Macaca fascicularis: one gene and its partner. The protein of the gene in region 1 purifies or fractionates together with the protein of each later gene. This does not show direct contact. Links are inferred from orthologs where the notes say so. Each region holds a gene or a part of one and is shown in the gene's direction. Other genes may lie near its edges. The genes, in order: SLC16A11 and EMB.

Evidence for each region.
Region 2: the proteins of SLC16A11 (region 1) and EMB purify together in Homo sapiens (co-immunoprecipitation; 3 studies listed by BioGRID and IntAct, counting the BioPlex papers as one, with this or other methods). This does not show direct contact. The link is inferred for Macaca fascicularis from reciprocal best matches to the Homo sapiens genes SLC16A11 and EMB.

The regions. Positions count from the first base shown.
Region 1 is NC_088390.1:7,078,616-7,082,527, reverse strand, and holds SLC16A11 (monocarboxylate transporter 11), read left to right. Parts: upstream 1-1,451; 5' UTR 1,452-1,608; exon of another isoform or gene 1,609-1,696; 5' UTR 1,697-1,857; coding exon 1,858-2,059; intron 2,060-2,297; coding exon 2,298-2,441; intron 2,442-2,604; coding exon 2,605-3,372; intron 3,373-3,459; coding exon 3,460-3,689; 3' UTR 3,690-3,747; downstream 3,748-3,912. UniProt on the Homo sapiens protein: Proton-linked monocarboxylate transporter. It catalyzes the transport of pyruvate across the plasma membrane.
Region 2 is NC_088380.1:55,705,158-55,708,969, reverse strand, and holds part of EMB (embigin), read left to right. Parts: intron 1-661; coding exon 662-848; intron 849-1,082; coding exon 1,083-1,171; intron 1,172-3,812. UniProt on the Homo sapiens protein: Plays a role in the outgrowth of motoneurons and in the formation of neuromuscular junctions.

The DNA.
Region 1 (3,912 bases):
ACCTAAGTGTTTAGAGATTCTGATCTCAAGAATCCTTTCTATTCCCAGTGACCCCTTATTTTAGAATCCTGTGTTTTCTGTCCCTGCAATGGTTCCGCCCTTTCCAGGGCAGTTTGCATCAAGCTGTATCCAGGATATTTCTCTTAACTGTGCCAGATTTTGTTTCAGTTCCAGGATTGTTCTCCCTGTAGGTCCCACAGTTGGACAGACCTAAATTCAAATATTCACACCATTTTTTCCCTGTGAGCTTCAGTTACTGCATCTATAAAAGAGGCACGACACCAGCCGGGCGCGGTGGCTGACTCCTGTAATCCTAGCACTTTGGGAGGCCAAGGTGGTGGATCACCTGAGGTCATGAGTTCCAGACCAGTCTGGCCATGGCGAAACCCCATCTCTACTAAAAAATACAAAAATTAGCCAGGAGTGGTGGCATGTGCCTGTAATCCCAGCTTCTTGGGAGGCTGAGGCAGGAGAATCGCTTGAACCCAGGAGGCAGAGGTTGTGGTGAGCCAAGATCTCGCCACTGCACTCCAGCCTAGGCTACAGAGTGAGACTCCATCTAAAAAAAAATAAATGAATAAAAGAGAGCAACAACTTCTTCATAGGGTTATTATAAGATGAAATGATAGCATGTGTAAACAGTGCCTGGCACATCACAGGTCTTCACTTTGAGAGAGTCCTGTTTCACCCTCTATCCTTGGGGGCCTGTTATTTTATTTATTTATTTATTCATTTATTTTTGAGACAGACTCTTGCTCTGTTGCCCAGGCTGGAGTGCAGTGGCATGATCTTGGCTTACTGCAACTTCTGCCTCCTGGGTTCAAGAGATTCCCCTGCCTCAGCCTCCAGAGTAGCTAGGAATACAGGCTCGTGCCACCATGCCTGGCCAATTTCTTTGTTTTTTTAGTAGAGATGGTGTTTCGCCACGTTGGCCAGGCTGGTCTCGAACTCCTGACCTCAGGTGACCCACCCATATCGGCCTTCCAAAGTGCTGGTATTATAGGCGTGCACCGTGCCCGGCCTGGGGGTCTGCTATTCTAAGCACAGCTCTGGCACTCAGTGGAAGTCTGTGATCTGATATCCGAGGTCTACCTGGTCCTAAGCAATGTTCCTGAAAACAAAACTACTCATCCCCTCAGGCTTTTGGGACCATCCATATTTCCCCGCGTTGGCGGTGGACCCCGGGCTCGGGCTCGCTGGGGTTTGCAATCCACGTGTCTCCCCTGCGCGCAGCAGGCAGCAGGTGCATGGGTGTGAGCAGGGCAGGGCCCCTCGGCATTCATTCCTCTCCACTCCCTCCCCGGGGCTGGGGGTTGTGTGTGTACATAATTCAATCCCCGTGGGACTGGTGTCTGGCCTCACCCGCGGCTTGGCTGATTGGTTGTTTCAGCTCGCCCCCGCCCTCCGTACCCCCGGCGTCCCAGGTGGCTTGGGCCCCTGTGGTGATCTCTGTTTACCGAGAGAGCTTGTCCAAGTTGGGCTCCATCGCTGCTCTCGCTCCCCTTCGGGGCCCCCGCCCGCCTGGGAAGCGGAGAGAAAGCCGGGCCCAGCCCTTCCTCGCCCTTCCCCTCCCCGCACAGCCCGGAGAGGTCGGGTAAGGGGGAAGGAGTGTACGTGGGACGGGGAGCCCCGGGCCTGGGGGATCTGGCTGTCCCCGTCCCGGTACCTCGCGCGGACCCGGGAGTTCCAGCCCTAGGCCTGGCTCCGGCTCCCTCTGCTCTGCGCCATCGCGCTCGGGGTGACCCGCCCACCCCGGGGGAGCAGCCGGAGGCTGGATCTCAGGGATGCCAGCTCCCCAGCGGAAGCACAGGCGTGGAGGCTTCTCTCACAGGTGTTTGCCCACCCCCGCAGACGGCGATGACCCCCCAGCCCGCCGGACCCCCGGACGGGGGCTGGGGCTGGGTGGTGGCGGCCGCAGCCTTCGCAGTGAACGGGCTGTCCTACGGGCTGCTGCGCTCGCTGGGCCTTGCCTTCCCTGACCTTGCCGAGCACTTTGACCGAAGCGCCCAGGACACTGCGTGGATCAGCGCCCTGGCCCTGGCGGTGCAGCAGGCAGCCAGTGAGGCGGGCTCTGAGGCGAGAGACGGGAACGGGGAGGAGGGGCTGTGAGTGGAGGGATGGGAGACCCCCCTGATTACCCGACAACCTGAGAAAGGACGACCGGCTCTAGAAAAGAGTGCATCTTAAGGTCAAGGAGAGGAACCATTAGTTCGAGGGAGGTAAACAGCCAATGAGAGGTGTTGGAGAGAGTTTGGGGGCCCGGGGGCGTGTCTTTTATTGACTCCGCCCCCTTCCAGGCCCGGTGGGCAGCGCCCTGAGCACGCGCTGGGGAGCCCGCCCGGTGGTGATGGTTGGGGGTGTCCTCGCCTCGCTGGGCTTCGTCTTCTCGGCTTTCGCCCGCAGTCTGCTGCACCTCTACCTCGGCCTGGGCCTCCTCGCTGGTGAGGGAAGGGGGATGCCCGGGTCATTCAGGGTGAACTGGGGACAGGAGCTTATGGGACTGGGGTAGCGAACGAGGCGAGGGCCTGGTGCGGAGAGCAGGACTGGGAATGCTGGCGAGGGCGTCCCCAGTGCCGGCCCACATCCCCTCCCATTCATTCGCAGGCTCTGGTTGGGCCCTGGTGTTCGCCCCTGCCCTAGGCACCCTCTCGCGTTACTTCTCCCGCCGTCGAGTCTTGGCGGTGGGGCTGGCGCTCACTGGCAACGGGGCCTCCTCGCTGCTCCTGGCGCCTGCCTTGCAGCTTCTCCTCGATACTTTCGGCTGGCGGGGCGCTCTGCTCCTTCTCGGCGCGATCACCCTCCACCTCACCCCTTGTGGTGCCCTGCTGCTACCCCTGGCCCTTCCTGGCGACCCCCCAGCCCCACCGCGTAGTCCCTTAGCTGCCCTCGGCCTGGGACTCTTCACACGCCGGGCCTTCTCGATCTTTGCTCTAGGCACAGCCCTGGTTGGGGGCGGGTACTTCGTTCCTTACGTGCACTTGGCCCCCCACGCTTTAGACCGGGGCCTGGGGGGATACGGGGCAGCGCTGGTGGTGGCCGTGGCTGCGGTGGGTGATGCGGGCGCCCGGCTGGTCTGCGGGTGGCTGGCAGACCAAGGCTGGGTGCCTCTCCCGCGGCTGCTGGCCGTATTCGGGGCTCTGACTGGGCTGGGGCTGTGGGTAGTGGGACTGGTGCCCGTGGTGGGGGGCGAAGAGAGTTGGGGGGGTCCCCTGCTGGCCGCGGCTGTGGCCTATGGGCTGAGCGCGGGCAGTTACGCCCCGCTGGTTTTCGGTGTGCTCCCCGGGCTGGTGGGCATCGGAAGTGTGGTGCAGGCCACGGGACTGGTGATGATGCTGATGAGCCTCGGAGGGCTCCTGGGCCCTCCCCTATCAGGTAAGGACCTGAGCTCGCAGATCTGCCTACAACTATCCTCTGCCCCTGGGGTTAGGGTCTTCTAAATTCCCTTACCCATCTCCTCAGGCTTCCTAAGGGATGAGACAGGAGACTTCACCACCTCTTTCCTCGTGTCTGGCTCTTTGATCCTCTCCGGCAGCTTCATCTACATAGGGTTGCCCAAGGCGCTGCCCTCCTGTGGTCCAGCCTCCCCTCCAGCCACGCCTCCCCCAGAGAGGGGGGAGCTGCTTCCCGCTCCCCAGGCAGTCTTGCTGTCCCCAGGAGGCCCTCGCTCCACTCTGGACACCACTTGTTGATTATTTTCCTGTTTGAGCCCCTCCCCCAATAAAGAATTTTTATTGGGTTTTCCTGAAACCTCCAACTGTTCACCCATCTAGGACCCTGAAAATATTCTACTTAAGACAGCCAGAAAGGCTGGTTCAAAGGAACAGGATCCCAGGAGGCCCTGGGTATGAAGAAGGGCGACTGTCTGTCCAGGCAACCCATTTCTCTTTGCCCAAGTCCTGGCCGGAACAGGGA
Region 2 (3,812 bases), on another chromosome or scaffold:
GTTAAGTGTTCTTATGATAATCAATCGATCAATCCAAAATAAATAAGATATCTATTTTGAAAGTCAAAAAAAAGATAAACACCTTATGAATTCATACTGATACTGAAATTCAGTTCAAATTCAGAACTACAGGATGCTTATTTAAATTCTCTGTCCTGTACCTATGTCTATATCCAGTCCCTACAGGTTCTTAAGAAGACTAGGAATGGTTAGAATATAATATATCACTCAAATCCATGTTATACAAAAAACATTCTCGTAATAACTACCAACAACATGATTACTCAAAATTATTGAAACAGGCATTCCATTCTCACCCATGAGTGTGTTGTATTTACAGTTGTGCTGTTTTTACACTGTCAGAGCATACAGCACATGTTATTGAGTACTCTGTACCCTATATTCTGCTTATTACAGAGCTTAAGGAGATAACTATCACAGCTTTAGGTTTTTTTAAATTGTGTTAATGTTGGATCAAAACATTTCTTTAGGTGTGCATATAAAAGGGAATAAGAAAGGGAACCAACTATGTTGATAGAGGAATAATTCTTCAAATGAATGAAATTGTCAATAAAACACTTCAGTTAATAATTTAAAAGGTTTTATATATTAGATTCCTCTGAATATAACTTTCACATTTTGTCCTCTTTTGTGCTAATAGAACATTCTAGTATGCCAGTAGAAAAAAATATCACTTTAGAAAGGCCTTCTAATGTAAATCTCACATGCCAGTTCACGACATCTGGGGATTTGAATGCAGTAAATGTGACTTGGAAAAAAGACAGTGAACAACTTGAGAATAATTATCTTGTCAGTGCAACAGGAAGCACCTTGTATACCCAATACAGGTGAGTATACAAATTTTAACCTACCTTGTTTGCCAAAAGTAGCTTAATTCTAAATATTTTTGCTGACTGAGCATTCTTCCCTCTGCAGCCACTTGAATGTTATGCTAATATTCTAATTTGCATATTTACAAAATTATTTCTATTTTAAAATTTTGATTAATGGCTAAGTCTTTTCATTTTCATTAAGAAGGTTTTGAGAACTAAGCCTATATTAATAACTTCAATTATCTTTAGGTTCACCATCATTAATAGCAAACAAATGGGAAGTTATTCTTGTTTCTTTCGAGAGGAAAAGGAACAAAGGGGAACATTTAATTTCAAAGGTCAGTATTAATAGCTTGAGGAATAGTTAATAACTTCAGCACTATGTTCTTAGATTTCTCAATCCTGTAATTTTAAAATTATTTTTACAATAATAAACATAATATAGCTGAAAGTAAGTCATATGCTTTCCAGAGTCACAAGAGGTAACCTTGAAAATGGTCTTGTATCCCCAAGTCAATTTCCTTTCTGCTTCTGTTCCTCAGCTTAAAGCACAGGTTTTAGTTCAAAAGGATAGCCTACCACATTATGAGTGAATTATGAGAGTCACATGAATTTCTTTATTTACACCTCTAAATTCATAGTTTTTATAATAGTCCTCCACATTTCTAAGTTATTGTGGTATCAGCCTCTGAGAGCGTGGGTGGATGTTCTATATCCATAGCTCCATGACATGGGATTTTTTTTTATTATTATTATACTTTAAGTTCTAGGGTACATGTGCACAACGTGCAGGTTTGTTACATATGTATACACATGCCGTCTTAGTGTGCTGCACCCATTAACTCGTCATTTACATTAGGTATATCTCCTAATGCTATCCCTCTCCCCTACCCCTACCCCAGAATAGGCCCCTGTGTGTGATGCTCCCCTTCCTGTGGCAAAGTGTTGTCATTGTTCAGTTCCCACCTATGAGTGAGAACATGCGGTGTTTGGTTTTCTGTTCTTGCGATATTTGCTGAGAATGATGGTTTTGATTTGAAATTGTGGTTTTGATTTGCATTTCTCTGATGGTGAGTGATGATGAGCATTTTTTCATGTGTCTGTTGGCTGTATAAATGTCTTCTTTTGAGAAGTGTCTGTTCAAATACTTTGCTCACTTTTTGATGGGGTTGTTTGTTTTTTTCTTGTAAATTTGATTGAGTTCTTTGTAGGTTCTGGTTATTAGCCCTTAGTCAGATGAGCAGATTGCAAAAATTTTCTCCCATTCTGTAGGTTGCCTGTTCACTCTGATGGTAGTTTCTTTTGCTGTGCAGAAGCTCTTTACTTTAATTAGATCCCATTTGTCAGTGTTGGATTTTGTTGCCGTTGCTTTTGGTGTTTTAGACATGAAGTCCTTGCCCGTGCCTATGTCCTGAATGGTATTACCTAGGTTTTCTTCTAGGGTTTTTATGGTTTTAGGTCTAATATTTAAGTCTCTAATCCATCTTGAATTAATTTTTGTATAAGGAGTAAGGAAAGGATCCAGTTTCAGCTTTCTACTTATGGCTAGTCAATTTTCCCAGCACCATTTATTAAATGGGGAATCCTTTCCCCATTTCTTGTTTTTGTCAGGTTTGTCAAAGATCAGATGGCTGCAGATGTGTGGTATTATTTTGAGGGCTCTGTTCTGTTCCATTGGTCTATATCTCCGTTTTGGACCAGTACCATGCTGTTTTGGTTACTGTAGCTTTGTAGTATAGTTTGAAGTTAGGTAGCGTGATGCCTCCAGCTTTGATCTTTTAGCTTAGGATTGTCTTGGCAATGCGGGCTCTTTTTTGGTCCCATATGAACTTGAAAGCATTTGTTTCCAATTCTGTGAAGAAAGTCATTGGTAGCTTGATGGGGATGGCATTGAATCTATAAATTATCTTGGGCAATGTGGCCATTTTCACAATATTGATTCTTCCTATCCATGAGCATGGTATGTTCTTCCATTTGTTCGTGTCCTCTTTTATTTCACTGAGCAGTGGTTTGTAGTTCACCTTGAAGAGGTCCTTCACATCCCTTGTAAGTTGGATTCCTAGGTATTTTATTCTCTTTGAAGCAATTGTGAATGGAAGTTCATTCATGGTTTGGCTCTCTGTTTGACTCTTATCGGTGTATAAGATGCTTGTGATTTTTGCACATTGATTTTGTGTCCTGAGACTTTGCTGAAGTTGCTTATCAGCTTAAGGAGATTTTGGGCTGAGATGATGGGGTTTTCTAAATATACAATCATGTCATCTGCAAACAGGGACAATTTGACTTATTCATTTCTTAATTGAATACCCTTTATTTCTTTCTCTTACCTGATTGCCCTAGCCAGAACTTCCAACACTGTGTTGAATAGGAGTGGTGAGAGAGGGCATACCTGTCTTGTGCCAGTTTTCAAAGGGAATACTTCCAGTTTTTGCCCATTAAATATGATATTGGCTGTGGGTTTGTCATAAATAGCTCTTATTATTTTGAGATACGTTCCATCAATACCGAATTTATTGAGAGTTTTTAGCAAGAAGGGCTGTTGAGTTTTGTCAAAGGCCCTTTCTGCATCTATTGAGATAATCATGTGGTTTTTGTCTTTGGTTCTGTTTATATGCTGGATTACATTTATTTATTTGCGTATGTTGATCTGCCTTGCATCCCAGGGATGAAGCCCACTTGATCATGGTGGATAAGCTTTTTGATGTGCTGCTGGATTCGGTTTGCCAGTATTTTATTGAGGATTTTTGCATCGATGATCATCAGGGATATTGCTCTAAAATTCTCTTTTTTTGTTGTGTCTCTGCCAGGCTTTGGTATCGGGATGATGTTGGCCTCATAAAATGAGTTAGGAGGATTCCCACTTTTTCTATTGATTGCAATAGTTTCAGAAGGAATGGTACCAGCTCCTCATTGTACCTCTGGTAGAATTCGGCTGTGAATCCATCTGGTCCTGGACTCTTTTTGGTCGGTAGGCTATTA